Anolis sagrei: one gene and its partners. The main gene of each other region encodes a partner of the protein of the gene in region 3 in a complex. Links are inferred from orthologs where the notes say so. Each region holds a gene or a part of one and is shown on either strand. Other genes may lie near its edges. The genes, in order: CHCHD3, MICOS13 and APOOL.

What was found.
Region 1: APOOL (region 3) and CHCHD3 share a complex: the UniProt entries of both Homo sapiens proteins name them as parts of the mitochondrial contact site and cristae organizing system (MICOS) complex. The link is inferred for Anolis sagrei from reciprocal best matches to the Homo sapiens genes APOOL and CHCHD3.
Region 2: APOOL (region 3) and MICOS13 share a complex: the UniProt entries of both Homo sapiens proteins name them as parts of the mitochondrial contact site and cristae organizing system (MICOS) complex. The link is inferred for Anolis sagrei from reciprocal best matches to the Homo sapiens genes APOOL and MICOS13.

Annotation. Positions count from the first base shown.
Region 1 is NC_090025.1:192,695,055-192,705,718, reverse strand, and holds the start of CHCHD3 (MICOS complex subunit MIC19), read left to right. Parts: upstream 1-5,844; 5' UTR 5,845-5,923; coding exon 5,924-6,007; intron 6,008-10,664. UniProt on the Homo sapiens protein: Component of the MICOS complex, a large protein complex of the mitochondrial inner membrane that plays crucial roles in the maintenance of crista junctions, inner membrane architecture, and formation of contact sites to the outer membrane.
Region 2 is NC_090034.1:54,659,465-54,669,625, reverse strand, and holds the start of MICOS13 (MICOS complex subunit MIC13), read right to left. Parts: upstream 4,787-10,161; 5' UTR 4,711-4,786; coding exon 4,682-4,710; intron 1,503-4,681; coding exon 1,346-1,502; intron 340-1,345; coding exon 288-339; intron 163-287; coding exon 65-162; 3' UTR 1-64. Other genes in the region: hydroxysteroid 11-beta-dehydrogenase 1-like protein, read left to right, coding at 6,300-6,384, 6,755-6,885, 8,119-8,230, 8,415-8,506, 8,657-8,750, 9,022-9,187. UniProt on the Homo sapiens protein: Component of the MICOS complex, a large protein complex of the mitochondrial inner membrane that plays crucial roles in the maintenance of crista junctions, inner membrane architecture, and formation of contact sites to the outer membrane.
Region 3 is NC_090030.1:13,729,454-13,739,411, reverse strand, and holds the start of APOOL (MICOS complex subunit MIC27), read right to left. Parts: upstream 3,932-9,958; 5' UTR 3,878-3,931; coding exon of another isoform or gene 3,866-3,877; intron 1-3,865. UniProt on the Homo sapiens protein: Component of the MICOS complex, a large protein complex of the mitochondrial inner membrane that plays crucial roles in the maintenance of crista junctions, inner membrane architecture, and formation of contact sites to the outer membrane.

The DNA of each region.
Region 1 (10,664 bases), on a different chromosome or scaffold from region 3:
TCCACTGTGTTCTCTGCATGTAGGTAAACTACAACTCCAAAACTCAAGGTCAATGCCCATCAAACCCTTCCAGTATTTTCTTTTGGTCATGGGAGTTCTGTGTGCCAAATTTGGTTCAATTCCATCATTGGTGGAGTTTGGAATGCTTTTTGATTGAAGGCGAACTATAAATCCCAGCTTTTTGATTGAAGGCGAACTATAAATACCACTCCTAAATGTCAAGGTCTATTTCCCCCAAACTCCACCAGTGTTCACATTTGGGCATATTGAGTATTCGTGCCAAGTTTGGTCCAGATCCATCATTGTTTGAGTCCACAGTGCTCTCTGTATGTCGGTAAACTACAACTCCAAAACCAAAGGACACTGCCCACCAAGCTCTTCCAGTATTTTCTGTGGTCATGTAGAAATAACGCAGTTTTGCACCACTTTAACTACCATTACTGAAAGCTAATAAGTCCTGAAGCTTTTAGTCTTCTCTGATAAAGAGTGCCTCACCAAGATCCCATCACATTGAGCCATGGTATTATAGAGCGGTATCAAACCTCTTTAATTCTACAGTGTAGATGAAGCCTGAGAGCTGCTCCAGCCAGTGGTAAAGAAGGATCAGCCAATGAGAGAGCTGATGAACACTAGCCAATCATACATGGGCAGGCATGACATCATTTGCCTTTGTGACCTCACCAGGCCCATGTGATGTCATAATGTATGAGATAAGGTTGAAAGTATCTGCTAGTAGATGATGGACTGCATTTCTGAAACTGGATGGCACACAGAGACAACCCGCTATTCAATAGCTAAAAGAATACAAGGGAGAGGACCTTCGCTGAACCTCTTTCGATGGAGATAGCACCATCTTTTACCTTTAGATGGAAGGTAAAACCATTCCTCTTTACCTGGATCTATGCTAACCATATAATGCAGTTTGAAACTGCATTGTATGGTCAGCGTAGAACTATATATAGCAGGCGGGTAATAAGAAATAATTTATTATTATTATTATTATTATTATTATCATCATAAAGATAATATAATGTAATATCATTGTGATGATATTGTGTTGCCAGAAGAGTGTCTGGTTTGGCTTGCAGTCCGTACAGGCCATCCTTATCACGTATTTGCCAAAGCTTATAGATAGATAGTTATAGATAGGTAGTTCATAGATAATATATATTTGCCCTATAGATAGAGAGTTCATAGATAACACGTTTCATAGAATAGTTATATTGGCATAGAATAGATAGAATTTGCCAAAGCTTATAGATAGATAGTTATAGATAGGTAGTTCATAGATAATATATATTTGCCCTATAGATAGAGAGTTCATAGATAACACGTTTCATAGAATAGTTATATTTGCCATAGAATAGATAGTATTTGCCAAAGCTTATAGATAGATAGTTATAGATAGATAGTTCATAGATAATATATATTTGCCCTATAGATAGACAGTTCATAGATAACATGTTTCATAGAATAGTTATATTTGCCATAGAATAGATAGTATTTGCCAAAGCTTATAGATAGATAGTTATAGATAGGTAGTTCATAGATAATATATATTTGCCCTATAGATAGAGAGTTCATAGATAACACGTTTCATAGAATAGTTATATTTGCCATAGAGTAGATAGAATTTGCCAAAGCTTATAGATAGATAGTTATAGATAGGTAGTTCATAGATAATATATATTTGCCCTATAGATAGAGAGTTCATAGATAACACGTTTCATAGAATAGTTATATTTCCCATAGAATAGATAGTATTTGCCAAAGCTTATAGATAGATAGTTATAGATAGTTCATAGATAATATATATTTGCCCTATAGATAGACAGTTCATAGATAACACGTTTCATAGAATAGTTATATTTGCCATAGAATAGATAGTATTTGCCAAAGCTTATAGATAGATAGTTATAGATAGGTAGTTCATAGATAATATATATTTGCCCTATAGATAGAGAGTTCATAGATAACACGTTTCATAGAATAGTTATATTGGCATAGAATAGATAGAATTTGCCAAAGCTTATAGATAGATAGTTATAGATAGGTAGTTCATAGATAATATATATTTGCCCTATAGATAGAGAGTTCATAGATAACACGTTTCATAGAATAGTTATATTGGCATAGAATAGATAGAATTTGCCAAAGCTTATAGATAGATAGTTATAGATAGGTAGTTCATAGATAATATATATTTGCCCTATAGATAGAGAGTTCATAGATAACACGTTTCATAGAATAGTTATATTTCCCATAGAATAGATAGTATTTGCCAAAGCTTATAGATAGATAGTTATAGATAGATAGTTCATAGATAATATATATTTGCCCTATAGATAGACAGTTCATAGATAACACGTTTCATAGAATAGTTATATTTGCCATAGAATAGATAGTATTTGCCAAAGCTTATAGATAGATAGTTATAGATAGGTAGTTCATAGATAATATATATTTGCCCTATAGATAGAGAGTTCATAGATAACACGTTTCATAGAATAGTTATATTTCCCATAGAATAGATAGAATTTGCCAAAGCTTATAGATAGATAGTTATAGATAGTTCATAGATAATATATATTTGCCCTATAGATAGAGAGTTCATAGATAACACGTTTCATAGAATAGTTATATTTCCCATAGAATAGATAGAATTTGCCAAAGCTTATAGATAGATAGTTATAGATAGTTCATAGATAATATATATTTGCCCTATAGATAGAGAGTTCATAGATAACACGTTTCATAGAATAGTTATATTTGCCATAGAATAGATAGTATTTGCCAAAGCTTATAGATAGATAGTTATAGATAGGTAGTTCATAGATAATATATATTTGCCCTATAGATAGAGAGTTCATAGATAACACGTTTCATAGAATAGTTATATTTGCCATAGAATAGATAGAATTTGCCAAACATTATAGATAGATAGTAATAGATAGGTAGTTCATAGATAATATATATTTGCCCTATAGATAGAGAGTTCATAGATAACACGTTTCATAGAATAGTTATATTGGCATAGAATAGATAGTATTTGCCAAAGCTTATAGATAGATAGTTATAGATAGGTAGTTCATAGATAATATATATTTGCCCTATAGATAGAGAGTTCATAGATAACACGTTTCATAGAATAGTTATATTTGCCATAGAATAGATAGAATTTGCCAAAGCTTATAGATAGATAGTTATAGATAGGTAGTTCATAGATAATATATATTTGCCCTATAGATAGAGAGTTCATAGATAACACGTTTCATAGAATAGTTATATTTGCCATAGAATAGATAGTATTTGCCAAAGCTTATAGATAGATAGTTATAGATAGATAGATCATAGATAATATATATTTGCCCTATAGATAGAGAGTTCATAGATAACACATTTCATAGAATAGTTATATTTGCCATAGAATAGATAGTATTTGCCAAAGCTTATAGATAGATAGTTATAGATAGATAGATCATAGATAATATATATTTGCCTTAGAGTATTTGTAATAAAGAATAGATAATATTTGCCAAAGTTTATAGATTTTAGAGTAGTTATATTTACCTCATAGAATAGTTATAGTCATACATTCCCCATAGCTTATAGTTATAGAAATTATAGTAGTTGTTACATCAGAGTTTATATTTCACTAATCAAACTGTACTTTTATACCTTGATTATTTAGTAAACAATTGTTGAACTTAATCTTGTTTGTAGAGTTTTATTTTGGGGGAATTATAGTAATTTAGGGCATACCGATGGTCACTGGGAAAATAGCCAGACACATTTAGTTTCTCCTTAGATCTTCCTGGTGTGCCATCATAATCATGAATAATAATAATAATATATCATCATGTAAAATAGTATATTGTTATTAATAATAATATGTCATTATTAGTAATAATAATATGTTATTATTATATTGTTGATTTTTTTTGTCGTGTCAGGAGCGACTTGAGAAACTGCAAGTCGCTTCTGGTGTGAGAGAATTGGCCGTCTGTAAGGATGTTGCCCAGGGGATGATTTGATGTTGTTAATAATAATATTATATTATTGATAACATTATTAATAATACACTAATAATAATAAAAATAATAATTATTAATAATATATCATTTTTATTATTAATATAGTATTATTAATATATTGTTGTAGCCCGGAGTGGAAATAATCTATCGGACAGATGGCAAGCTATTCAACCTCAGCAGACTGAAAGCCAAAACCAAGGTTACAACAACAGCTGTTATAGAACTCCAGTATGCTGACGACAATGTCGTCTGTGCGCATTCAGAAGATCTACAAGCCACTCTAAACACCTTCGCAGAAGCATATGAGAAGCTCGGCCTGTCACTGAACATTGAGAAAACCAAGGTGCTGTTCCAGCAGTCACCAGCCCATCCCTCTCCAATGCCAGTAATACAGCTTAATAGCGTAAAATTAGAAAATGTGGACCATTTCCGCTACCTTGGCAGCCACCTCTCCACCAAAGTCAACATCGACGCTGAAATACAACACCGCCTGAGCTCTGCAAGTGCAGCATTTTCCAGAATGAAGCAGAGAGTGTTTGAGGACCGGGACATCCGTAGGGAGACCAAGGTGCTTGTTTATAAAGCTATTGTCCTCCCAACCCTGCTCTATGCCTGTGAGACGTGGACTGTCTACAGACGTCACATGCAGCTCCTGGAACGTTTCCACCAGCGCTGCCTCCGGAAAATCCTGCAAATCTCCTGGGAAGACAAGCGGACAAACGTCAGTGTGCTGGAAGAAGCAAAGACCACCAGCACTGAAGCGATGGTCCTCCAACATCAACTCCGCTGGGCCGGCCACGTTGTCCGGATGCCTGACCACCGTCTCCCAAAGCAGTTGCTCTACTCTGAACTCAAGAACGGAAAATGGAATGTTGGTGGACAGGAAAAGAGATTTAAAGATGGCCTCAAAGCCAACCTTAAAAACTCTGGCATAGACACTGAGAACTGGGAAGCCCTGGCCCTTGAGCGCTCCAGCTGGAGGACAGCTGTGACCAGCAGTGCTGCAGAATTTGAGGAGGCACGAGTGGAGGGTGAAAGAGAGAAACGTGCCAGGAGGAAAGCGCGTCAAGCCAACCCCGACCAGGACCGCCTTCCACCTGGAAACCAATGCCCCCACTGCGGAAGAAGATGTAGAGCAAGAATAGGGCTCCACAGCCACATACGGACCCACAAGGAAATCCATAATGGAAGACCATCTTACTTGTCCAACGAGGGATCGCCTAAGTAAGTAAGTAAGTAAAGTAAGCCCGAAAAACCTCAGCCCTATTGTTATATTATCATTGGTATTATTATTATTAATATATATATATATATATATATATATATATGGTATTATTATTAATAATTAATTATTATTATTACCAATGATAATATAACAATAGGCCTGTTTTGCACCAATTGGGCCAAGGATATACAATTCTGGGATTTATAGTTCCTTGTGGCAGAGAAGGATTAGATATTTCACAATTCCCAAAAGTCTCAAAACTTTGTAATAATGTGCAATGACACTTCAAGTAAGGCTAAATGCTTCATTATGGCCCCAGAATGCTAACACTGCTCTATTAACTACATTTCCCAGCGTGCATTGCGACAAGCGGCGGGCATTTGTAACCAATTCTTGCCGCGTTGCACGCTGGGAGAGGCAGTTCCCATGCTCTTTGAGAGAGAAGAGGGAAAGAGAAAAAGTTTCCACGCCGCCTGTCACTTGGTCAGGCCGGGGCAGGGCCCGTTGCTCAGGGCAACCGTTCTCCCCACCAATCGGAGAGCGGCGGAGGCGGGACGTAAGAGGGGGATGGCCAATGGGCGACGGGTGTGGGCGTGGCGTCTTATAGGGCACCTCCAGGGAGGCTTTTGCGGCCTAGTCTGGTGGTGAGCGAGCCTGGAGCGGGATGGGCGGCGGAGGCAGCGCCCCAAGGAGGGTCACCTTCGAGGCGGACGAGAACGAGAACATCACGGTGGTCAAGGGCGTCCGGGTGAGAGGGAAGACGGGTTGGCTGGACTTAAGCTGAGTGAGCTAGGCCTCAGAGGAGGAAGAGGAGAGGAAAAAGAGTAGGCCCCTGTTGACCTCAGAGGGGTCAAGCATGGAGAACAGGCAGGGTCCAACTTGGGCCTTCCCTCCAGGTGTTTTGGACTTTAACTCCCACAGTTCCTAACAACCTATGCTGAAAGAGTACTTTGGCTGCAGTGTGAGGCCAAGATTTTCGTTTAGAGAGGTCTGTGTATCTTCTGATTGAGCACACACCACATTATCATCAGCATATTGGAGTTCTATAACAGATGTTGTTGTGACCTTGGTTTTGGTTTTTGGGCAGCTGAGGTTAAAGAGCTTGCCACCTGTCCAATAAGCGCATTGCAGAAGTCCAACCTTGAGGTTACCACTATCTTTGGGTCTTCCAAATCTAGGAAGGGACGCAGCTATCGCGTATCAGCCATTGCATCTGCCTGGCCTGATATTTGGAGGGATATCCAGGAGTGCTCCCAAACTTCAAACAGTCGAAATATGTCAGGGAAAGTCATAAGGCGGAGGGAGCAAGCTTGTTTTCTGCTGCCCTGTAGAATCATAGAATCATAGAATCAAGGAGTTGAAAGAAACCTCATGGGCCATCCAGTCCAACCCCATTCTGCCAAGAAGCAGGAACATTGCATTCAAATCACCCCTGACAGATGGCCATCCAGCCCCTGTTTAAAAGCTTCCAAAGAAGGAGCCTCCACCATCCTCCGGGGCAGAGAGTTCCACTGCTGAACGGCTCTCACAGTCAGGAAGTTCTTCCTCATGTTCAGATGGAATCTCCTCTCTTGTAGTTTGAAGCTATTGTTCCACTGCGTCCTAGTCTCCAGGGAAGCAGAAAACAAGCTTGCTCCCTCCTCCCTGTGGCTTCTTCTCACATATTTATACATGGCTATCATATCTCCTCTCAGCCTTCTCTTCTTCAGGCTAAACATGCCCAGCTCCTTAAGCCGCTCCTCATAGGGCTTGTTCTCCAGACCCTTGATCATTTTAGTCGCCCTCCTCTGGACACATTTTTTGCATTAAAACAAACAAACAAACAAAACACAAAATTTGCAGACTTGGTATACTATTAAATGTCTTTTGACCAATTGCTGGCCACTTGGGGTGCCTCTGGTGTTGCTGCAAGAAGGTCCTCCATTGTGCATGTCGCAGGGCTCAGGTCGCATTGCAGCAGGTGGTCAGTGGTTTGCTCTTCTCCACACTCGCATGTCGTGGACTCCACTTTCTGGCCCCATTTCTTATGGTTGGCTCTGCATCTCGCCATGCCAGAGCGCACTCTGTTCAGCGCCTTCCAAGTCGCCCACTCTTCTGTGTGGCCAGAAGGGAGTCTCTCATTTGATATCGGCCATGGTTTGAGGTTCCAGGTTTTAGCCTGCCACTTTTGGACTTGCTTGCTGAGGTTTTCCTGCGAATATCTCTGTAGATCAGTGGTTGTCAACCTGGGGGTCGGGACCCCAGAGGGGGTCGCAAGAGGGTGTCAGAGGGGTCGCCAAAGACCATCAGAAAACACAGTATTTTCTGTTGGTCATGGGGGTTCTGCATGGGAAGTTTGGGCCAATTCTATCATTGGTGGGGTTCAGAATGCTCTTTGACTGTAGGCGAACTATAAATCCCAGCAACTACAACTCCCAACTGTCAATGTCTATTTTCCCCAAATGCCACCAGTGTTCACATTTGGGCATATTGAGTATCCTTGCCAAGTTTGGTCCAGTTCCATCATTGTTTGAGTCCCCAGTGCTCTCTGGATGCAAGTGAACTACAACTCCAAAACTCAAGGTCAATGCCCATCAAACCTTTCCAGTATTTTCTGTTGATCATGAGAGTTCTGTGTGCCAAGTTTGGTTCAAGTTTGGTGGAATTCAGAATGCTCTTTGATTGTAGGTGAACTAGGAATGAAAGTAACTGCAACTCCCAAATGACATAATCAATCCCTTGCCGAATCCCAGTAGTATTCAAATTTGGGTATTTTGGGTATTTGTGCCAAATTTGGTCCAGTGAATGAAAATACATCTTGCATTTTGGATATTTACATTACAGTTCATAACATTAGCAAAATTACAGTTATGAAGCAGCAATGAAAGTAATGTTATGGTTGGGGGTTGCCACAACATGAGGAAGTGTATTAAGGGGTCGCGGCATTAGGAAGGTTGAGAAACACTGCTGTAGATCTTAGAAAACTATTTCTTGATTTAGGGCATTGGTGTGCTGGCTGGTATCTCAACAGGGAGTGGGCCAAAGATGTCACTGCCTTGGTCCTTTAACTATTTGTTTCTACTCCCCGGGGGATGTCAGGTGGTGCAATACCGGCTAAACAGTGTAATTTCTCCAGTGGTGTAGGGCGCAGACACCCCGTGATAATGCGGCATGTCTCATTAAGAGCCACATCCACTGTTTTAGCGTGGTGTTACCATGATTTTCAGGTCCTCCAAATCTTGGAAGGTACACAGCTAGTGTATCATCCATCACATCTGTCTGCTTGTAGAGATGGATCCAGGAGTATTCCCAGACTACAAACATAGTCTTTCAGAGGGAGTGAAACCCTATCCAGAACTGGTTGATGATGTTGTTGTTCATTCGTTCAGTCGTCTCCGACTCTTCGTGACCTCATGGACCAGCCCACGCCAGAGCTCCCTGTCGGCCATCACCACCCCCAGCTCCTTCAAGGTCAGTCCAGTCACTTCAAGGATGCCATCCATCCATCTTGCCCTTGGGCGTTCCCCTTTCCTTTTGCCTTCCACTTTCCCCAGCATAATTGTCTTCTCTAGGCTTTGCTGTCTCCTCATGATGTGGCCAAAGTACTTCAACTTTGTCTCTAGTATCCTTCCCTCCAATGAGCCGTCGGGCTTTATTTCCTGGAGGATGGACTGGTTGGATCTTCTCGCAGTCCAAGGCGCTCTCAGGACTTTCCTCCTGGTTGATACACCCAGATTGGTTGATACACCCAGATTAAGGCCCTTAATGGCAAGCACCTCTGTTTTGTCTGGATTCAGTCTCGATTTAGTTTTTCTCATCCAGGCCCATTACCTCTTCCAGGCATTCATTCAGGGGAGACACGCTATCCTTCACTGAGAATGTTTTGAAATATATTTGAGTGTCATTCACATACTAATAACACCCCACCCCATGCCTATGGAATATCTTTCCCAGCGGTTTCATATAAATCATAGAACCATAGAATAATAGAGTTGGAAGAGACCACATAGGCCATCTAGTCCAACCCCTTGCCATGCAGGAAAAGTACAATCAAAGTTAAAAAAAACTTTGAGGATAGAATGTTAAGAGTGGTCTATAAATGCAACTAATATATATGGAGGTTCCAGAAGCATTCTCTCTTGACGTTTCACCTGCATCCATGGCAGGCATCCTCAGAGGATGTGAGGTCTGTTGGAAACTAGGAAAATTGGGTTTATATATCTGTGGAATGTCCAGGGTGGGAGAAAGAACTCTTGTCTGTTTGAGGTAGGTGAAACGTCAAGAGGGAATGCTTCTGGAACATGGCCATAGAGCCTGGAAATCTCACAACACCCCAATGTTCAGAGGATTTGCTAGTTACAGTATTAGTTATTTATTTCACTGTATTACTAGACATATTTAAAGCTTCAACTAGGTCCATCACAAGCTAAAAATTAATTGCTGCTCTCAGTTTAACCTGTCTCTGTGTTATATGCCTTTGTGGAGACTCTGCTGCAGGAGGCTCATGTTGTGAATTGTCAACGGCTTTTGTGTTGTGTTCCTCAGATATACTTTCTAGGCATATTTGGTAGAGCTTTATACTGTTATCCTTTGGGTATCAATTAAAAACTTGTTGATTGTCCATTCTGTTGAAGGCCTTGGGTCCCCTGTAGTTCATTTCTTTCCTACTATCTGTTCGACCAGCTTTTACTTTTTAGGTTTTCCTGTAATGAATGTTCTCCTTGGAGGAAGTTTTGGTGGAAGGACATAATATGATTTTTTTTTCACTGAGTTATAAGTATTTTTGTGGTCCGATGTGTGAATTTTGAAAATCTGTTGTTAGAAACACCATGCTAGTAAAGTAATGCTACTTTGCCATGTTCTCACCTGCTGCATCATTCTTCCTCGCCTTGACCTCATGGGCACTTTTCTTTTTCTTTTGCCTTGACCCCTCCTGCCCATTTCTTCAAGATACTTCTAAAGGGCTTTTTAGTGTCAACCCTGTAGTTTCTGAAGCTTATGGGAAAGCTCTTACCAGGAACACTTCAAAAGAAAAAATGAAAGACAAATGATGAAACGGAGAAATATTGGGGTGGCACTTGCAGAAGGGTTTGTTCCTTCTGTCTTTTTGATGTTCTCTCACTTCACCTGGCACCTGCTTTCTGTCTTTCTTTGTCATATATTCTTTGATTTCACCTCCCCTCTTTGTTCCTTTACCTGTAAACCTGCATTCTTCTGTTTCTGTGACACTGACCAGCTTGAAATCCCTCTATTTTCCAATGAGAGGGTAGACAAGAAGTAGTAGGGTTGACACTCGATTGTCTCTGATCTATTGTCACAAGACTCTGGTTTATCCAACAGCCAGGGAGCATTTCCTGTGTGGCAGTTCTGTGAATTAGCATTGCCTCTGCCTGGTTAGAATTTACAAATATATACCATTAATTCAG
Region 2 (10,161 bases), on a different chromosome or scaffold from region 3:
TTCAAAGTCTCTATTTCAGCCATTCTGCCTCTTGGGGACCAGACAGAGGGTTTTATTGCAGGTGTCATTTCACAAGATCCTTCATGTACTTCCAGCCGTACTGGGTATATTCGCTGGCCCGCGTGGGGGCCACTGAGAGGCCGCCGATGACTGTCCGGACCCCTATAGAAAAATCAGAAGCAAAGTGATACATTTCCTTATAACCTAAAGGCCACCTCCCTCAACAAATCTGGGGCCAAGGTGATCTGCCCCAATGTCTCTCCTATAAATAAACAACAGATCCTCACCCGAGTTCCAGGCGTTGCAGAGGGAAAAGTCGGTCTTGGGGATGGCTGGGAACTGGGTAAAAAGAGAACACAAACACAAGCTAGGAAAAGGGTTCCAAAAAGAAATTAATGCATCTCAGACAGCCCAAGGGAGATCTGTAGGCAAATACGGGAGGCTTTCAAGCACAGGGAAAATGTCCATCTGTTGGGAGAGCTTGAGTTGGGTCTAACTCTTCCAAGTCTAGGATTCTTTGATCTTCCACCTATCTGTCTGTCTTTGATCTTCTATCTATCTCTTCCAACTCTAGGATTCTTGGATCTTCCATCTACCTATCTCTTCCAACTAGGATTCTGTGGTCTTCCATATATCTATCTCTTCCAACTAGGATTCTATGATCTTCCAACTCTAGGATTTTAAAATCTATCTCTTCTAACTCTATATCTATACGGCGCCCCCAGTGGCACAGGTTCGAATCCAGGGAGAGCATGGATGAGCTCCCTCTATCAGCTCCAGCTCCCCATTGCAGGGACATGAGAGAAGCCTCCCACAAGGATGGTAAAACATCAAAAAACATCCGGGCGTCCCCTGGGCAACGTCCTTGCAGACGGCTAATTCTCTCACACCAAAAGCGACTTGCTGTTTCTCAAGTCGCTCCTAACATGACAAAAAAAACCCTCCATCTTTCAACTTTCATTCTCTATGTCTTCCAACTCTAGGGTCCTACAGTCTTCCAACTCTACAGCTGTCTATAAATATTATAATAATAAAACTTTTATTTATATACCACTCTATCTCCCCGGGGGGACTCAGGGCAGTTTCCAAGCAACAACATCAAAACATACAGAGTCACAACATGGAAAAAAAAAAAACTAACAGCAACGTAAGCATGGAATTACCCAACACATAAATATTAAAAGAAAAAATATCTGCCTGATGCATGTTTCTCCTAAGCTGCAGATACTCTGTTCCTTCATAAAGCCTTTTCTTTGCCATCCTGAGGGAGGTGGGGGTGGTGTGACGAATGAGACCTCAGTTCTCCCCTTTGCCCCAGCCAAGGCCCCCATCCCAAGGGGCTCACCTGCCAGCCAAAATACTTGGCCCACTCCTCCAGGGCCGGTGGGAGGGCCTCTTTGGCCTTGTGGAGGGCCTGGGCCCCTTCCTCCCCTCCACCAAGGAGCCCTTGGCTATAGACCACATAGATGGAGCCTCCCGCTAAGCCTCCTTTGAGCAGGAACCTGCATAGATACAAACAAAGCATAGATTGTAAAGGAACAGAAAAAGAAAGTAGACTCAGCATTTCAATATCAATACTGATTTCACTACGCAGGTTTTCATCTTGGGAGTGATCCTGGACTCATTGCTGAGCCTGGAACACCAGGTCTCGGTGGTGGCCAGGGGAGCATTCGTACAATTAAAACTTGTGCGCCGACTGCACATGTACCCTAGGAAGTCGGACTTGGCCATGGTAGTCCATGCTCTTGTTACTTCCTAAATAGACTACTGCGACATGCTCTATGTGGGGTTGCCTTTGAAGACTGTTTGGAAGGTTCAAGTGGTCCAACGGGTGGCAGCCAGATTTCTCACCAGAGCAGGGTACAGGGAGCATACAACCCCGCTGCTGCGTCAGCTCCACTAGCTGCCAGTTCGCTACCGAGCACAATTCAAAGTGCTGGCTTTGGCCTATAAAGCCCTAACAGTTCTGGCCCAGCTTACCTATCCACATTTATCTCCCTCTATGAACCATCACAGAGGCTAAAATGTTCCAGGGAGGCCCTGCTCTCGGTCCCACCTCCATCTCAGGCGCAACTGGTGGGGATGAGAGACAGGGCCTGCTCAGTGGTGGCCCCTCGGCTATGGAACTCCCCAATAGAATCAGGTCAGCCCCCTCCCTCCTGACCTTAATGAAAAAAACTTACACATGGCTTTGGAACCAAACCTTTGACCAGCAATGGGAGCAGTGCATAAGTGACCACGAATTAATGTGACAGATAAATGGAACGGCCTTGGATTATGATTTGGATGGTGTGATTTTAATTCATATTTTAAACTGCTTGGATTTTAATTGTCTTTGTTTATGTGTATGGCATTGAATTGCTACCTGTTGTAAGGCCGCCCAGAGTCCCCTTCGGTTTGAGAAGGGTGGGGGATCAATTGTAGTAAATAAATAAATATGCAATTGATAAACTCTGTATAGTATTGACTTGATATTCCTATTGAAATGCAGTATACATGAATTAGTAATAACACATTAACTAAGACAAAAACATTCTACATGTATTTTAATGTTTTCTTTAAAATATTATTTTCCATTGTTGCCTGTTGCTTGAGAGTTAACTGAGGTCCCTTCCACACAGCTAAATAAAATCCCATATTATCTGCTTTGAACTGGAATATATAGAACTGGGCTCAGACAACCCAGTTCAAAGCAGATATTGTGGGATTTTCTGACTTGATATCCTAGGTTATATGGCTGTGCGGAAGAGTCCTAAGTGCCTACAGTTAAAAACTGTATCCCAGAATCTGATCCCAGGTTTTCTGTTTATCCGAGATTAGCTGGCAGTGCAGACTCATATAAACCAAAAACCTGGGATCAGATCATGGGATAAAGGGCCTGTCTGGAAAGGCCCAAAGGTATAGTATAGAAAAAATATTATTATTAAATAGATAATTTGGATTATGAACGAACATTACATTTTTATTTATATAGATATATATACATATCTCATGAGCATTCCAAAATACGATACTTGGAATACAACCTTCAAAACAGTTCAAAACAAAGAGACTTCTGCCCCTGCAATATTATTAGTAATATTACATATAATATATAATATACAATTATTCTACTGTTTTATCATTAGTACTATATTGTATTACATTATATTATAATACTAGCTGTCCCCTGCCATGGGTTGCTGTGGCCCAGTCTGTGTTTATGTCATAAAATCATAGAGTTGGAAAAGACCTCGTGGGCCATCCAGTCCAGTCCAGCCCCCTGCCAAGAAGAAGGAATATTGTATTCAAAGCACCCCTGAGAGATGGCCATCCAGCCTCTGTTTAAAAGCTTCCAAAGAAGGAGCCTCTACTACACTCCAAGGCAGAGAGTTCCACTGCTGAACAGCTTTCACAGTCAGGAAGTTCTTTCTCATGTTCAGATGGAATCTCCTTTCTTGTAGTTTGAAGCCATTGTTCCGCGTCCTAGTCTCCAAGGAAGCAGAAAACAAGCTTGCTCCCTATGACTTCCTCTCACATATTTATACATGGCTATCATGTCTCCTCTCAGCCTTCTCTTCTTCAGGCTAACCATGCCCAGCTCTTTAAGCCGCTTCTCATAGGGCTTGCTCTCCAGACCCTTGATCATTTTAGTCGCCCTCCTCTGGACACATTCCAGCTGTTTTAAATGAGTTTTTAAAGAGTTTTTAATACTGGTAGCCAGATTTTGTTCATTTTCAGATTCAACCACCATGTCAGACTACACTGAGAAGCCATTGAAATCCACAAGCATGTGGACAATTTCAACAAAAAGGAGGAGACCATGAAAATGAACAAAATCTGGCTACCAGTATTAAAAAAACTCCAAAATTGCAACAGCAAAACAGCAGAGAGGAAACAACCAGGCACATCTTAATACCTCTCAACAGAACATTTTCCCAGGCTCAGCCAGGCCTTCAAATGCTAATGAAGGTGGTCAGCTGAAACATTCACACCTAGCTTCAGCAGAGAGCTCTTTGCCCCACCCCAGCCATTCCACAGATATATAAACCCATTGTCCTAATTCCAACAGACCTCACTACCTCTGAAGATGCTTGCCATAGATGCAGGCGAAACGTCAGGAGAAATGCCTCTAGAACATGGCCCTATAGCCCGAAAAAACCTACAAGAACCTAGTGATTCCAGCCATGAAAGCCTTGGACAATACAATATAATATGTATGTACAATATGTTATATTATATTATTAGCATTCTAAAATAAGATACTTGGAATACAACCTTCAAAACAGTTCAAAGCAAAGACTTCGGCCCTTTCTACACTGCCATACAAAATCCAGATTACCTGCTTTGAACCGGATTATCAGGCAGTGTAGACTCATATAATCCAGTTCAAAGTAGATGATGTGGATTATCGGATTTGATAATCTGGATTGTATGGCAGTACAGAAGAGGCCTTAGATTGCAATAATGGTAACAGTTTCCCAAAAGAGAATTGGATTCCACTATTTCAAAGAGATTTGGGATTGCAATATTTCAAACGCAGAGCATTACAGTTGGAAGGGCCATCTAGTGCAACCCTCTTGCCATTAAAGCTTGGGTGCTGTAGTTTTGCAAGGCCTGCCAGACTACTGATGCCAAGATCCCATTGCATTGAGCCCTTCTTTCCTGATTATGAATCTAGAAAACCGCCCTCCCGACTCACTTGATCACAGGGACGAAGCGAGACGCCATGACAGCAACGCCTTCGCCGGCCCAAGGGCAGCAAAGCGCCCGCCCGCACCGGTTTTTCCCCCCTGCAGCAAAAGCCCATTGGCTGACCTACTCTCGCGAGACTTTTCGGGAACTGCCGCGGTTGAGAGAAATGGAGGCCGCCATTGTTCCTGAGAGGGAGGGCGGGGGCTTTTTCTTTCTTTTTCACCAACTATAGGAAATTGAACTTAATGTGAATTGAATGAAACTGAATGAGTGTAGGGCGAGGCAACATTCCCTCAAAACATGAAGGCTTTTTATTATGTTTCTTGTTCTAACGGTAACCAATGGGCCCGTTGTGCGCATGAGCAGGGAGGTTGCCGTGCGCATGCGCGAGCGGAATCATGTTTTCCCCCACTCTGTCCACTCTGTTCCCTACTTCCTTAAGGTCGTGCCACGTTTAAGGTCGTGCCAGTCTTCCTGGGATAACATCGTTTTCAGTCTTCTGTTAAACTTTTTGTAAACAAGGAGGAGAATCCAGAATTTCGGTGCAGCTATTGAATTTTAAAGTATTTAAAATTCTTTATACCATAAAGTAGAAATATGGCGTTATGATTAACTCGTTCATGTTGATCTTATATAGACAGGTTTCTGCGTTTTGGGTTTTCTGTTAAGTGTTTCCTGAGGCCTTGAGGGCGAATCTACACTGCCAAATAATGCAATATAGACGCCTATCATGCAGTTCGATGCATTATATAGTGGGTGTACTCTCTCTTGTACAGTTCAGTGCATTCTGTGCAAAGTGTAGACCCTATATTGCAGCTCAATGCATTCTATGGTCAGCGTAGAGTCCCAAAATATAGCTTAAGCAGTGGTTCTCAACCTGTGGGTCCCCAGATGTTTGGGCCTTCAACTCCCAGAAATCCTAACAGCTAGCAAACTGGCTGGGATTTCTGGGAGTTGTAGGCCAAAACACCTGGGGACCCACAGGTTGAGAAGCACTGGCTTAATGCATTCTATGTTCAATGTAAAGTCCTATAGTACAGTTCAATACATTCTATGGTCAGTGTAGAGTCCTATAATGCAGTTCAGTATATTCTGTGGTGAGTGTAGTCTCCTGTTACATAGTTCAATACATTATATGGTAAGTGTAGACCCTATAATGCATAGTTAGACTGCATGAGAGTAGATTCTTATAATGTAGTTCAGTGCATTCTACTATCAGCGTAGAGTCCAGTAATGCAGTTCAATGCATTATATGGCCAGTGTAGATTCCTATAATGTAGTTCAGTATATTCTATTGTCAGTGTAAAGTCCTATAATGCAGCTCAATGCATTGTATGGTCAATGTTGACTCCTATCATACAGTTAGACTGCATTCTATGAGTCTACGCAATCCATGTAACGCAGTTCCAAGCTACATTATACAATCAGTGCGGAAGGGGCTCCTTTTGGCAGTCTTCCATGGAGCTGAGTCCCAGTTCAGCGACTCTCTCTCTCCTCAAAACACACCCGTTGGCCTGCAGGGCGTGGGAGGCACCCGCCCTTTGTATCCCCTGATCCGTTTCTGACCCTTGCCATCATTTTCAGGCTTGAATATCTATTTGTGGTGACACTTGGAGAGAAGGGAGATGAGGGCCGCTGGGCTTCTGCTCTCGGTCCTTGGCATCGCAGCTGTTTGGGTGGCCTTCTCCTGGAGAGACACCTTCGAGCCAGGTAGGAGCTGCAGAGGAACGGGTGGCCATCTGTTGGGAGGGTTCGGATTGTGTACCCCGCCTGCCTGGCACAGCCCATGGGTTTCCCTGCCAACTCTAAGACTCAATGAAGGCCGACACTTGTTGGCAGGCAAAATACCGTATATAAACAAGTATCAACCCTGCTGGGTGAAGAGGTGAGGATCTTGGCGGGAAGTCGTGGGGCTGAAACAAGGGCATATTTCAATCCCATGACTTCCCACCAGGACCACTTGAGTATAAGCCGATGGGGGGCATTTTCAGGCTAAAAAAGGGCTGAAAATCTTGGCTTATACTCAAGTGTATACGGTACTCTACTTTCCCCTTTGGCCGTATTTCTTTTTCTCTCCCAGACAGCCTTTCCGGGGCCCGGGTTCTCTTGACTGGCGCCAGCGATGGGATCGGGGAACAAATGGCCTACCATTACGCCCGGTTCGGGGCACAAATTGTCCTCACCGCCCGGAGGGAGGCCATGCTGCAGAAAGTGAGAACACATCCAGATTCAAAGTCTGGGATTGGGGAAAGATAGAGCTTGGGTTGAGTTCTAGAGCCTCCATGCATACCAATATCTGGTTCTAAGGCCCCCATGGATTCCAGTACCGGATTGCGTCTGGTTTGAGGACTCCCAAGAATACCTATGTTTAGTTAGGTTTGGTCCTAGGACCGCCTTAGATATTAATGTTCGTGTTGGGTTCTAGGAACCCAGTGGATACCTATGTCTGGTTGGCTTAGTTCTAAGGCCTTTAGAGGAATCAACGTTTGGATAGAATTAACATGCTCTAAGTTCCTCTCTCTCGTTCCTCTCATGGATGGGGTTCATGGACTCATGTTCTAAGAATCAAGTGTTTTCCTGGTTTCCTGTATTGCTTCAAGAATCAAGTGGTTTCATGGATTCATGTATTTTTGGATCTTGGGTATAGCTGCCATGTACTTTTGATCTTCTCGGTTGCTGTGTTCTTTCAAGAGTCCAGTTTAAAGATCTTGCTTACATTCTGGTCTCGTGGATTATTGCTTCCAAGTCTTCCTAAGTGCCTTGTGTTACATGGATTATATTTTGTATTGACTTCTTATCATTTTTGCTGAAGCTACATTTATACCTTAAGAAACTGCTTTGCTTATAACTGAGCTCTGGGGTGTGAGATTGGTTTAAAGGCGCCTTTCCAGCCCTGCTGTGTGACAGTTGGGTTGGGTTCTAGAGCTCCAATAGATACCAAAGTCTATTTGAGTTGGGTTCTAGGTCCCTGTGGCTATTGATATCCGGTTGGATTGGGTTCTAGGGTTCCCAGGAATACCAATATCTGGTTGGGTTGTGTTCTAGGGTTCCTATGGATACCAATACCTGATTGGGTCTGATTCCAGGACCCCCATAAATACCAGTCTCTGGTTGGGTTAGGTCCTAGGGCCCCTATGGATACCAATACCTGATTGGATCCAATTCCAGGACCCCCATGGATACCAATATCTGTTTGCATTGGGTATTAGGACCCTCGTGGATCCCCAAATCCATGGATGCTCAACTCCCATTATATGCAGTGGTGAACAATACGCATAAAATGGCAAAACTAAGGTTGAATTTTGGGGTTTTTCAGAAATACTTTCAAGCCATGGATGGTACAGCGAACCAATTGTACTAGGAACCATCCCTATCGCACATGGCTGGATTTCTCCCGGTTGAAGAAGTCCATAAATGGTGGTTGTTCCTTTTGCTTTTGTCCAGGTGATGGCCAAATGCCTGGAGCTGGGAGCCAAGAAGGCCGTCTACTTCGTCGCAGATATGGCTTCTTCCGCAGAGCCAGAAAAGCTGGTCCATTTTGCCTTGGAGGAACTCGGTGGGTCCTCAAACCCCAAAACTACAACTCCCAAGTGATGTCAAAGTGCAGTACTTCTACGCGATTCTAACTAACCCTTAGGTTCACACTGTATGGATGAATTGGGATAACAAGTTGGACCTGTTTTTTCATCGCTTTCTGCCAATGACAAATCTGCTTTTCTTTCCCATCCTTCTTTTTTTAGGGGGCCTGGATTTTGTGGTCCTCAACCATGACGGATCGAGCCCTTTTGAGATGTGGGCTGGAGACATGGACCATCTGCGTTGGCTCATGCAGGTGCGGCTGGGATTTGGGAGGGCCCTCCAAAGGCCATCCAGTCCATCCCCCTTCTGGAAGGCACAATCCAAATCCACCCAACAGAATTATTATTACAATTATTATTATTACTAATATTATTATTAATATTAATATTCCTCTCCCTTCCAGGTGAACTTCTTCAGCTATGTGGCCCTCGCCTCGGTGGCTCTCCCTCCCTTGGCAGAGAGCAAGGGTTCACTAGTGGTGGTCTCTTCCCTGACAGGTGAGTGAGTGCCCTTGGGAAACTACTGCTCCCAGAGACCGGCCACCAATTAGCCAATGCAAGGAAACAAGGCTTGTCCCGTCCTCCTCCATGGGACTTCCTTCCTTCCTTCCTTCCTTCCTTCCTTCCTTCCTTCAAAGATGGAGACATGGCTCTCCTGTCCCCTTCTCTCATCCTTCCTTAATCGCTTCACTAGGTTATTCTTCTAAGCAAAGCACAAAGAATAACCTCCTCCACTTTGATGCAGTATTTAGTATTTTTTCCCTCTCAGGAAGAGTGTCCACCCCCTTCGTGGCTCCTTACTCGGCCACCAAGTTTGCCCTGGAGGGCTTCTTTGGCTCCTTGCGCCACGAACTGGTCATGCAGCAGAAAGAGATCAGCATCACACTCTGCTTCCTGGGCCTCATCGACACCGAGTCGGCCATCAGCAAAACGAAGTGAGTTTCAGGCAAATGGTCCTAGAGTCAGAAGGAACCACCAAGGGCCATCCGGTCCAGCTCCCTCAGATAGATAGATAGATAGATAGATAGATAGATAGATAGATAGATAGATAGAATCCTAGAGTAAGAAGAGACCCCAAGAGCCATCTAGTCCACCCCATTAGATAGATAGATAAATAAATAGATATATATATATAGAGAGAGAGAGAGAGAGAGAATCCTAGAATTGGAAGAGACCCCCAAGGACCATCTAGTCCAACCCCATTGGATGGATGGATAGAGAGTTGGAAGAGATAATATCCTAATATATAATACTCTACTATAATAATACTATAATGTAATAATATATTTATCCTATAATATAATAATATAATATATGCCATATCATAATATATAGTAATACTTAACAATATTTTCTTATTTATTTATTTATCTCTCCATACGGAGACTCAAACAGCTCACAATTAATACATTACAACTTCAAATATGCAAATATACAATAATAAAATAGTATCATTCTATATTATTATATATTATAGGTAGTATTATATTTAATATGTTAGTACTACTGTATAGATGATGATAATAATACATATTGTTAAAAAAGGTAACGTTTTCCCTTACATTAAGACTAGTTGTGTCCGACTCTGGGAGGTGGTGCTCATCTCCATTTCTAAGCCAAAGAGCTGGTGTTGTCCATAAACACCTCCAAGGTCATGTGGCCAGCATGACTGCATGGAGTGTTGTTACCTTCCCGCCGCTATTGATCTTCCTGCCGGAGCGGTAGCTATTCATCTACTCACATGTTTTCGAACTGCTAGGTTGGCAGAAGCTGGCCTAAGAGGGGAGCTCACCCAGCTCCCTGGATTCAAACCGCCAACAAGTTCAGCAGCTTAACCTGCTGCACCACCAGGGGCCTTTAATATTATATTATAATACCTTAGATGATTCTGATAATACACAATATTTCT
Region 3 (9,958 bases):
GTGTATAAAACCACATTCTATTGCTACTATATGTCAATTCTGTATTGATGTTTGGTATAATATTGCTACTATATGTATATGTATATAATATTGCTACTATATGTCAATTCTGTATCTGTTTTTGGCACAAATAGGTGTGTGTATATGTGTGTATACACATACACATAATATTGCTACTATGTCAATCCTGTATCTGTTTTCGGTACAAATGTGTGTGTGTATATATATATATATATAGAGAGAGAGAGAGAGCTATTATATATGTATCTGTATCTGGTTTTGATACAAGTGTATGTGTGTGTGTATATATATATATATATTAGGCCTGTCGGTTTCGTTTCGTTAATTCGTTATTTCGTATTAAAATCGTTATTTTTTGCATATCCGAAGCGATATCAAAACATATTTTTAAACCCGGAAGGGTTTAAAAATATCGAAGCAGCAGCCCCATGTATTTTACGAGCTGAAGCTCCGCTCGTTAATGGCATGGAGGCTGCTGCTGAGCGCGCCATCCGGCTCTGGCTCCTCCTCTTCCTCCGGAGCCCATTGGATAGCGCGCGCGCGCTCACAAGCGGCCTCCGCGCGCCATCCGGCTCTGGCTCCTGCGCCCCCCTCCTCCTCCTCCTCCTCCTCCTCTTCCTCCCAGCTGGGAGGAAGAGGAGGAGGAGGAGGAGGGGGGGGGGCGCAGGAGCCGGAGCCCATTGGATGGCGCGCGCGGGCTCACAAGCGGCCTCCGCGCGCCATCCGGCTCTGGCTCCTGCGCCCCCCTCCTCCTCCTCCTCCTCCTCCTCCTCCTCTTCCTCCCAGCTGGGAGGAAGAGGAGGAGGAGGAGGAGGAGGGGGGGGCGCAGGAGCCGGAGCCCATTGGATGGCGCGCGCGGGCTCACAAGCGGCCTCCGCGCGCCATCCGGCTCTGGCTCCTCCTCTTCCTCCGGAGCCCATTGGATGGCGCGCGCGCGCGCTCACAAGCGGCCTCCGCGCGCCATCCGGCTTGTGTGACTTTTCAGGGCTGTATGACCATGTTCCAGAAGCATTCTCTCCTGACATTTTGCCCACATCTATGGCAGGCATCCTCAGAGGTCTGTTGGAAACTAGGCAAATGGTGAGTTATATATCATCTAATATATCTATGGAATGTCCAGGGTGGGAGAAAGCCATTCAATGCTAATCAAGGTGACCATTACTGCAACATTCACACTTAGCCTGTTTGATCAAGAAAAATTTTTTTTCTAAAATGTTTTGTAAATAATAACGAAAATTCGTAAATAACAAAACATTTTTTTGGAAAGTTTTGTAAATATTTTAAATATCGAAACAAAAAAACACCCCAATTAAGAATCGAATTTAGAAACAAATTTTTTCTTGATCAAACAGGCCTAATATATATACATACACTTGTAGCTTATAGTAACTATATACACACACACTTGTAGCATATAGTGACATATAGTAGCAATATATATAATATTGCTACTATATGTCAATTCTGTATCTGTTTTTGGTACAAGTGTGTGCATATATATGTGTGTGTGTGTGTGTATATATATACACACACACACACACAATTCTGTATCTGGTTTTGATACAAACATATGTGTGTGTGTATATATATATATACACACATACATACATGTAGCATATAGTAGCAACGCACACACATACACAAACCTGTATATATAATATTGCTACTATATGTCAATTCTGTATGTTTTTGGTAGAAGTGTGTGTGTGCATATATGTGTCTGTATATTTATTTATTTATTTATTTATTTATTATTTACTTTGCTTATATACCGCTGTTCTCAGCCAAGGGGCAACTCACAGCGGTGTATATATATACACGCACAATTCTGCATCTGGTTTTGATACAAGTATGTGTATCTGTATATATATATATACACACACACAATTCTGCATCTGGTTTTGATACAAGTTTGTGTGTGTGTATACATACATGCATGTAGCATATAGGAGCAACACACACACACTTGTAGTATATATAATATTGCTACTATATGTCAATTCTGTATCTGTTTTTGGTAGAAGTGTGTGTATATATGTGTGGGTGTATATATATATATATATACACACACACAATTCTGTATCTGGTTGTGATAAAAATATGTGTGTGTGTGTATATATACACACATACATACATGTAGCATATAGTAGTAACACACACACATACACAAACCTGTATATATAATATTGCTATTATATGTCAATTCTATATGTTTTTGGTAGAAGTGTGTGTGTGCATATATATGTGTGTCTGTATATATATACACACACAATTCTGCATCTAGTTTTGATACAAATATGTGTGACACACATACATACATGTAGCATATAGTAGCAACACACATACACAAACCTGTATATATAATATTGCTACTATATGTCAATTCTATATGTTTTTGGTAGAAGTGTGTGTGTGCATATATGTGCGTCTGTATATATATACACACACACAATTCTGCATCTGGTTTTGATACAAGTATGTGTATTTGTATATATATATATATCCACACACACAATTCTGCATCTGGTTTTGATACAAGTATGTGTATGTGTATATATACATACACACACACAATTCTGCATCTGGTTTTGATACAAGTTTGTGTGTGTGTATATATATATGTATATATACACACATACATGCATGTAGCATATAGCAGCAACACACACACTTGTAGTATATATAATATTGCTACTATATGTCAATTCTGTATGTTTTTGGTACATGTGTGCATGTGTGTGTTTGTGTGTGTATATATACACACACGTAGCATATTGTAGAAACACACACTTGTAGTATATTGAATATTGCTACTGTGTCAATTCTGTACCTGTTTTGGGTAGAAGTATGAGTGTGTGTATAGCTACTCTATGTCAATTCTGTATTTGTGTTTGGTGTGTGTTTGTGTGTGTGTATGTATATATATACACACACATAGCATATTGTAGAAACACACACTTGTAGTACAGTATATTGAATATTGCTACTGTGTCAATTCTGTACCTGTTTTGGGTAGAAGTATGAGTGTGTGTATTGCTACTCTATGTCAATTCTGTATTTGTGTTTGGTGTGTGTGTATGCATCTATGTGTTTTTATCTATATCATGTATTGTATTTTAAAATGTTCTTATGTTTTGTTTTTGGTACATGTGTGCATGTGTGTGTTTGTGTGTGTATATATACACACATGTAGCATATTGTAGAAACACACACTTGTAGTATATTGAATATTGCTACTATGTCCATTCTGTATCTGTTTGGGGTAGAAGTATGAGTGTGTGTATTGCTACTCTATGTCAATTCTGTATTTGGTGTGTGTGTGTATGCATCTATGTTTATGTTTTTAATCTATGTAATGTATTGTATTTAAAAATCTTCTTATGTTTGTGTTTTTGTTGTACCCTGCCTCGAGCCATCAGGAGAGGCAGGTAATAAATAAATTGTATTATTATTATTAGAAAGAATTGCAAAACAGGCCTGGTTCAAAGTATTTCGGGCAAAAGGGAGACTGAAACTAAAAGTCAAACTGGGAGTGCGGGGCCAAGTTGTGTTTGTCCTACAGTGTAGATCAGGCCTGGGCAAACTTGGCCCCTCCAGGTGTTTTGGACTTCAACTCCCACAATTCCTGACAGCCTCAAGCCCGTTCCAAAGGAACGGGCTTGAGGCTGTCAGGAATTGTGGGAGTTGAAGTCCAAAACACCTGGAGTGGCCAAGTTTGCCCGTACCTGGTGTAAAAGCACCCAGTCTCCTTTCCCACTCTGCACATGCTCACGACACTCTTTCCCTTTGCCTCATTGAGGCTTCAGAAACACTGAGAGGCCTTACAATCAGCACAGCCACTCACCTTGGCCGCCATCTTGGCCCTGCAGGCGACGTCACCGTCAGGAGGCGGTGCTTCAAAAAGACAGCCAACCAGGATTGGCGGAGACAAGAGTTCCAGGCGCCCAAGTCCCGCCCACACGCGAGGGACAGCCGCCGATTGGGAATGGCGCTGGCCCAATCAGGTAAGAGATGTCACCCCCAGGAGGCAGAGCTATCTCTTCCTTCTGCCCCTCCCCTCCCTGGATGCTCTTTCCTCTTCTCTTTCTGTTTCTCCCTTTCCTTCTTTTGCTCTCTCTCCTACATTTCGCCTTTCCTTTGTTTTCCTTCCTTTCTTCCACTTTACTCTTCCCTTTTCCACTTTCTTTCCTTCCCTCTTTTTTCTTTCTTTCCTCTCCCCTTCCTCTTTTCTCCCTTCCTTCCTTCCCCTTCTTTTTTCCCCTTCCTCCCTTGCTTCCTCCCTCCCTCCCTTCTTTCCTTCCTTCCTTCTTTCCTTCCGTTTTCCTTCCTTTCTTCCTTCCTTTTTCCTCCCTCCCTCTCTCCCACCCTTCCTTCCTTCCTTTTTTCCTTCCTTCCTTCCTTCCTTTTTCCTTCCTCCCTCCCTCCCAACCTCCCTCCCTTCCTTCTTTCCTTCCTTTTTCCTTCCTCCCTCCCTCCCTTTTTCCTCCCTCCCTTCCTTTTTTCCTCCCTCCCTCCCTCCCTTCCTTCTTCCTTTTTTCCTTCCTTCCTCCCTCCCTCCCTTCCTTTTTTCCTTCCTTCTTTCCTTCTTTCCTTCCTTCCTTCCTTCCTTTTTTCCTCCCTCCCTCCCTCCCTCCCACCCTTCCTTCCTACCTTTTTCCTCCCTCCCTCCCTTCCTTTTTCCTTCCTTCCTTCCTTCCTTTTTTCTTCCTCCTTCCCTCCCTCCCTTTCTTTTTTCCTCCCTCCCTCCCTTCCTTCTTTCCTTCCTTCCTTCTTTCCTCCCTCCCTCCCTTTCCTTTTTCCTTCCTTCCTTCCTCCCTCCTTCCCACCCTTCCTCCCTCCCTTTCCTTTTTCCTTCCTTCCTTCCTTTCTTCCTTCCATCCTTCCTCCCTCCCAGAGAAAAGCCAGAAAAAAGCACTCCAGTTGGAGATCAGCTCTGACCAGCAGTGCTGTAGAATTTGAAGATGCACGAATGGAGGGCAAAAAGAGAGAAACGTGCCAAGAGGAAGGCGCGTCAAGCTGACCCCAACCAAGACCGCCTTCTACCCGGAAACCGATGCCCTCACTGTGGGAGAAGATGCAGATCAAGAATAGGGCTCCACAGTCACCTACGGACCCACCGCCAGGACACTGATCTTGGAAGACTGTCCTACTCAGACAATGAGGGATCGCCTAAGTCCTTCCATATATATAATATATATAAAAATTTCACGTAGCAACTACTTCTTTCCCTTTCTTTCCCAGTGACATCCAAGAGGGCCACTTCACCTAGCAGCAGCTCGATCCGCTTCTTTCCTTTCCTTTGGCTTGAAATGCCGCACAACTTTCCTTCAGACCTCTCCCTCTTCTCTTTTAAGAAATAGCTGAAGACTTTATGCTCTCGGGCATATAGAGAGGAGGACGTGTAACATATATAAACACCTGGTACAATAAAAATGGAACGGAATATGGAAATGGCTTTCTTCTGGCTTTTTAAAATGTTACGTTTTAATTGCTACTAGCCTCTAATTTTTAAGTGTTGTCCTACATTCTTATTTGTTGAAGATGTAGTTTTAGCAATGTGATGTCTAATTTGGTGTATTATGGCACTATTATGTTCTTGTTCAGTACGTTTTATTTGATTTGGTGGCACTTTACGAGATTGAATGGTTACCGTTGTTTTTTGTGAACCACCCACAGTTCCCAAGGGGAGATAAGGTGAGATATAAATAAACATCTATTATTATTATTATTATTATTATTATTATTATTATTTTACATTGTTTCAAGCTGGTTAATATAGATTTTATAGAAATACATTTTAATATGTATCTTTTGTATGAATACAGTTTATATAATTTGTGTTTTTACAATATTTATGTGTTTTAATTATTCTGTAACCCACCTCGAGGAGAGACGGGCAAGAAATATGATGATAATAATAAGTAGTAGTAGTAATAAATCTATCTGTGATCATGTACACAATTCATCAAAACGAAATCTATCGAAGAAACGGATATGGAAAAGATCGTGTTTTTACCAAATCCGTAACCTGTAAATGTATCAGATTTGTAAATATTGACCAATGTTTAAAGATCCGACACTATGAAATAAGGAATGGATTTTAGATACGACTTTTAAATTTGTTTTATTATTATCGTGTAATTTACTGTTGTGTTCATGTGATTTGCTTTATTGTTGAATGCTTTGTTATGTTTATTTTGAATGGTTTCAGTCTATTGTTGTATTTTACGGCATTGAATGTTTTCCTTTTATGTTGTGAATGGTCCTGAGTCCCCATGGGGTGAGATAGAAATAAAGTTTTACTTTTGTTTATTTACAGTATTTATATCCCGCCCCTCTCACCCCAACATAAATTTAAAAGCCATTAGAACCATGCAATCTGAGATCATAGTCTAAAAGCTGTTCCAGTTGTTATTGCATATTGTCCAGTTGTTATTCCAGTTGTTATTGCATCACTTATTTCACTGCACTACTGACCAAAGGTTTGGTCCCACAGCCATGTTTTTACATGTTTTCTGAAGGACAGGAGGAAGGGAGCTGACCTGATTTTGCTGGGGAGGGCGTTCCATAGCTGAGGGGCCACCACTGAGAAGGCGTTGTCTCTCATCCCCATCAACAGCACCTGTGAAGGAGGTAGGACCGAGAGTAGGGCCTCCCCAGAAAATGTTAATCTCTGAAGTAGTTCATAGAGGGAGATATATTCAGACAAATAAACTGGGCCAGAACCATATAGGGCAGTGGTTCCCAACCTTTTTTTTAAATCAGGGACCACTTAGATCAGGGACTACTTGACCAGGGACCACTCTCCAACAGTACCAAAAGGGTTACGAATCGGTTTTTGGTCAACTTTAGTTTTGGTTGGTTATTTAGGGGGCTGATTCAGAAAATTGCATTGGATAGACCACATCAGCTCTAGTCTCTGATACAGAACACATTGCTATGGTCAGTGACAAGGAAGGAGTGGCAGGAGGCGCGAAAGGAGCGGAAATAAACTAAAATGAATAAATAAATAAAAAGGAAGGAAGGAAGGAGGAGGCTCATGGACCAGATTTTCGTCTTTGTAGCCCACTGGCTGTACATGGCCCACTGGTTAAAAACTGCTGGTATTGGGCTAAAGCCTGAACGTGAGGAAGAACTTCCTAACCGTGAGAGCTGTTCAGCCATGGAAATCTCTGCCGCAGAGTGTGGTGGAGGCTCCTTCTTTGAATTGTGTTTGGTAGCCAGTTGGCAGTCAGTGGAGCTGGCATAATGGGGGTTGTATGCTTCTGCCAACCTAACAGTTCGAAAACATGCAAATGTGAGTAGATCAATATATACCGCTCCGGTGGGAAGTCATGCCGGCCACATGACCTTGGAGGTGTCTATGGGCAACACCGGCTCTTCGGCTTAGAAATGGAGATGAGCACCACACCCCTTTACCTATGAACACCACACCCCTTTACCTTTACCTATGCACCCTGTACGCTGCTCCACTCTTTTTTACTTACTTACAATGTATTTTAGGGATCTGCCAAATCTGGAAGCACCGTTTGGACACATTAAACTGAAAAATCATTGTGAATTATTAATAAAGTATCAATATTTTCTTGAAGCCCAGAAAGTACAAAGGAAGACAAGAAGTTCCTAAAGTGCAGAGAATTCTTTTTATTGAAGTCCAAATCAACAACTGAAGTTTTACAACGTTTTTTTCCCCCCTCCCCAAAACAAAAGCTACTTTTGGATTTAGGAAGAATAAATGTCCTTTTTTCAATAATGTACAGTCTATATATTTTTTTAAATAAGTTAATATCTTTGAAAAAAGAGCAATATGTTCCTTTTATAATGTTGCAGTGCAACTTACAACTTACACGTCTGTGCAATGTACCATGAGGTATATGCCCAGTGAGCAACACACAGTGAAAGTTTTCCTCCATTCATCGATTCTCATTGTAGACACGCAAAATGAAAAACTATAATCAACAAGTTATTCCGTGATAGAAAACAAATGCAGCCAAGTACAGTAATTCACAGAGAACTGAGTTTTGTTTTAAAAAAAGGGAAAGGAAAGGAAAATCAACATTCATCGCCTTATATCAACCAGTGGATCACTTCTCAAGGTAGGACTTTGGTGAAACTGGAAAGAAAGGGACACAAATGAACCTGTTGTTATTATCCAGGGATCGAAATTGAGCTTTACCTGCCCAAGGTGGCCATCCTGTACTCTGGTCATTGAGAACAAGCTCAATTGTAATCAATGGGAGTGACTTTTGAGTCAAAATGTGCAGGATAGTGCCGTAAATCCATTTTCTTCCTCTCTATCTTTCTTGCGATGGGATGGAGAATGGTGCCAGCCCAAGATGAGGATAAGGGGGAAATCTCCCCATGGAAGAAAAATATAAAGGGTGTATTCTTAAGCTTTCAAACCACAGGGCAAGCCATAGTCTGTGATGCAATCGAGCAAATTCCTCCCTGGTTTTATGAGTTTATATCACATTTTGGTTTTCTTGCACAGCTACATAGGTAAACACACACACAACCGGTTTCATTCTTCAAGCTTCAGGACGGGTGCGGGAACTCCCTCGGATACATTTCTCCCCATTTATAGAAAATATTTCTTGGTGACAGAAAGACTTTTAGAAAGAAGGACGCACAACATAAAAAGTGTGATAAATAACAGTTCTGCCTCTAATATATATATATTTATATATACATATTATCATGTAAACAAAAATGCTCCAAAGACATAGGTTCTCTCTCTCTTTTTAAATACAAAGGCGCTCAAAATTTTGTTGTCATTTGGGGAAAAAAAAACAGTCCAAGTGAAAGTTTGGTTTAGAACCTCCTATTGCTACAGAAGTTGTCAGAATGATTGTTTATTTACAAAAGAAAGTCCACGGAGGGACCCCATAGTCAACAACAACAGTAAGCTGACCTTAGGCTTGAGTGGACTTTTCTCTCCAAAGTACACACATATCTGACCTTTTCGTAACAAGGGACTAATGATAGCTTTTGCAGAGAGCTGAAGGTGCTTGGGAAAAGAAAAGAAAAACATTATTATCTTTCAAGTGCAGTCTCCAATGACTACATTCAGCAAACCTTCCAAACAAAGGTCTGGGAAGAACGAGAGCAAGAGACCTGTAGGGACATATCCATCTCCTTTCTCCTCTTCCTTCTTTGGCTCTCGAACAGGACATTTCCCCTCTTGCTTTGCGGTTGATTTTTGAACCGGCACCTTATGGCTTGAGCATTTCCTCCAATCCAGGATTGCGAGAAGGAATCGATCAAACCATTGTTTGTTAACTTGGAATTTGTTGCAAACTAGTTTCCCGTATATACTCAATGTATAGGTCAGCCTCGAGGGCTGGTTTGGGGAACAAAATTATGCATTCTGATAATTACCAATGGATAAATCGAGGGTCATCATGCAGAGATTGTAAAGCACCAATGCTTTCCCATCTAAACATTCAAAAAGAGCAGAAAAGACCATGGCTTGTTTTAGTTTTTCTGAGTATGAACTCAGCTCTTCCCTTTTGCCATTTTACTCAAAAGAAGGAGCTGGCTCATTTTTGGATAAGAGATTGCAAACCAGATTTTTGGGGGGTTGAATTTTTGACTCACATTTCTACACTTATACATGAGTATACAAGGTAATTCAAAGTTATCTTGAAGGAACGCTATCCTCTGTCAACCACAATGTTATTTGAAATATAGGCCTTGAGGGTTGACCTTCTTTCAAGTTGGGAAGCAAGCAGCTTTCCGGCTATTATTCCCAAGTCTGCGCCATATAGCCCATATTCAGGAATGCTGGACTCGAATCCAGTTTGCTCATAGGACTAGTAGATAGTTAAGGAGTCTAATAATATAATTCAATATATAGTAGAGTCTCGCTTATCCAACCTTCACTTATCCGACATTCCGTCTTATCCGATGCTCTTATCTGACACCCCCTTCTCTTCCA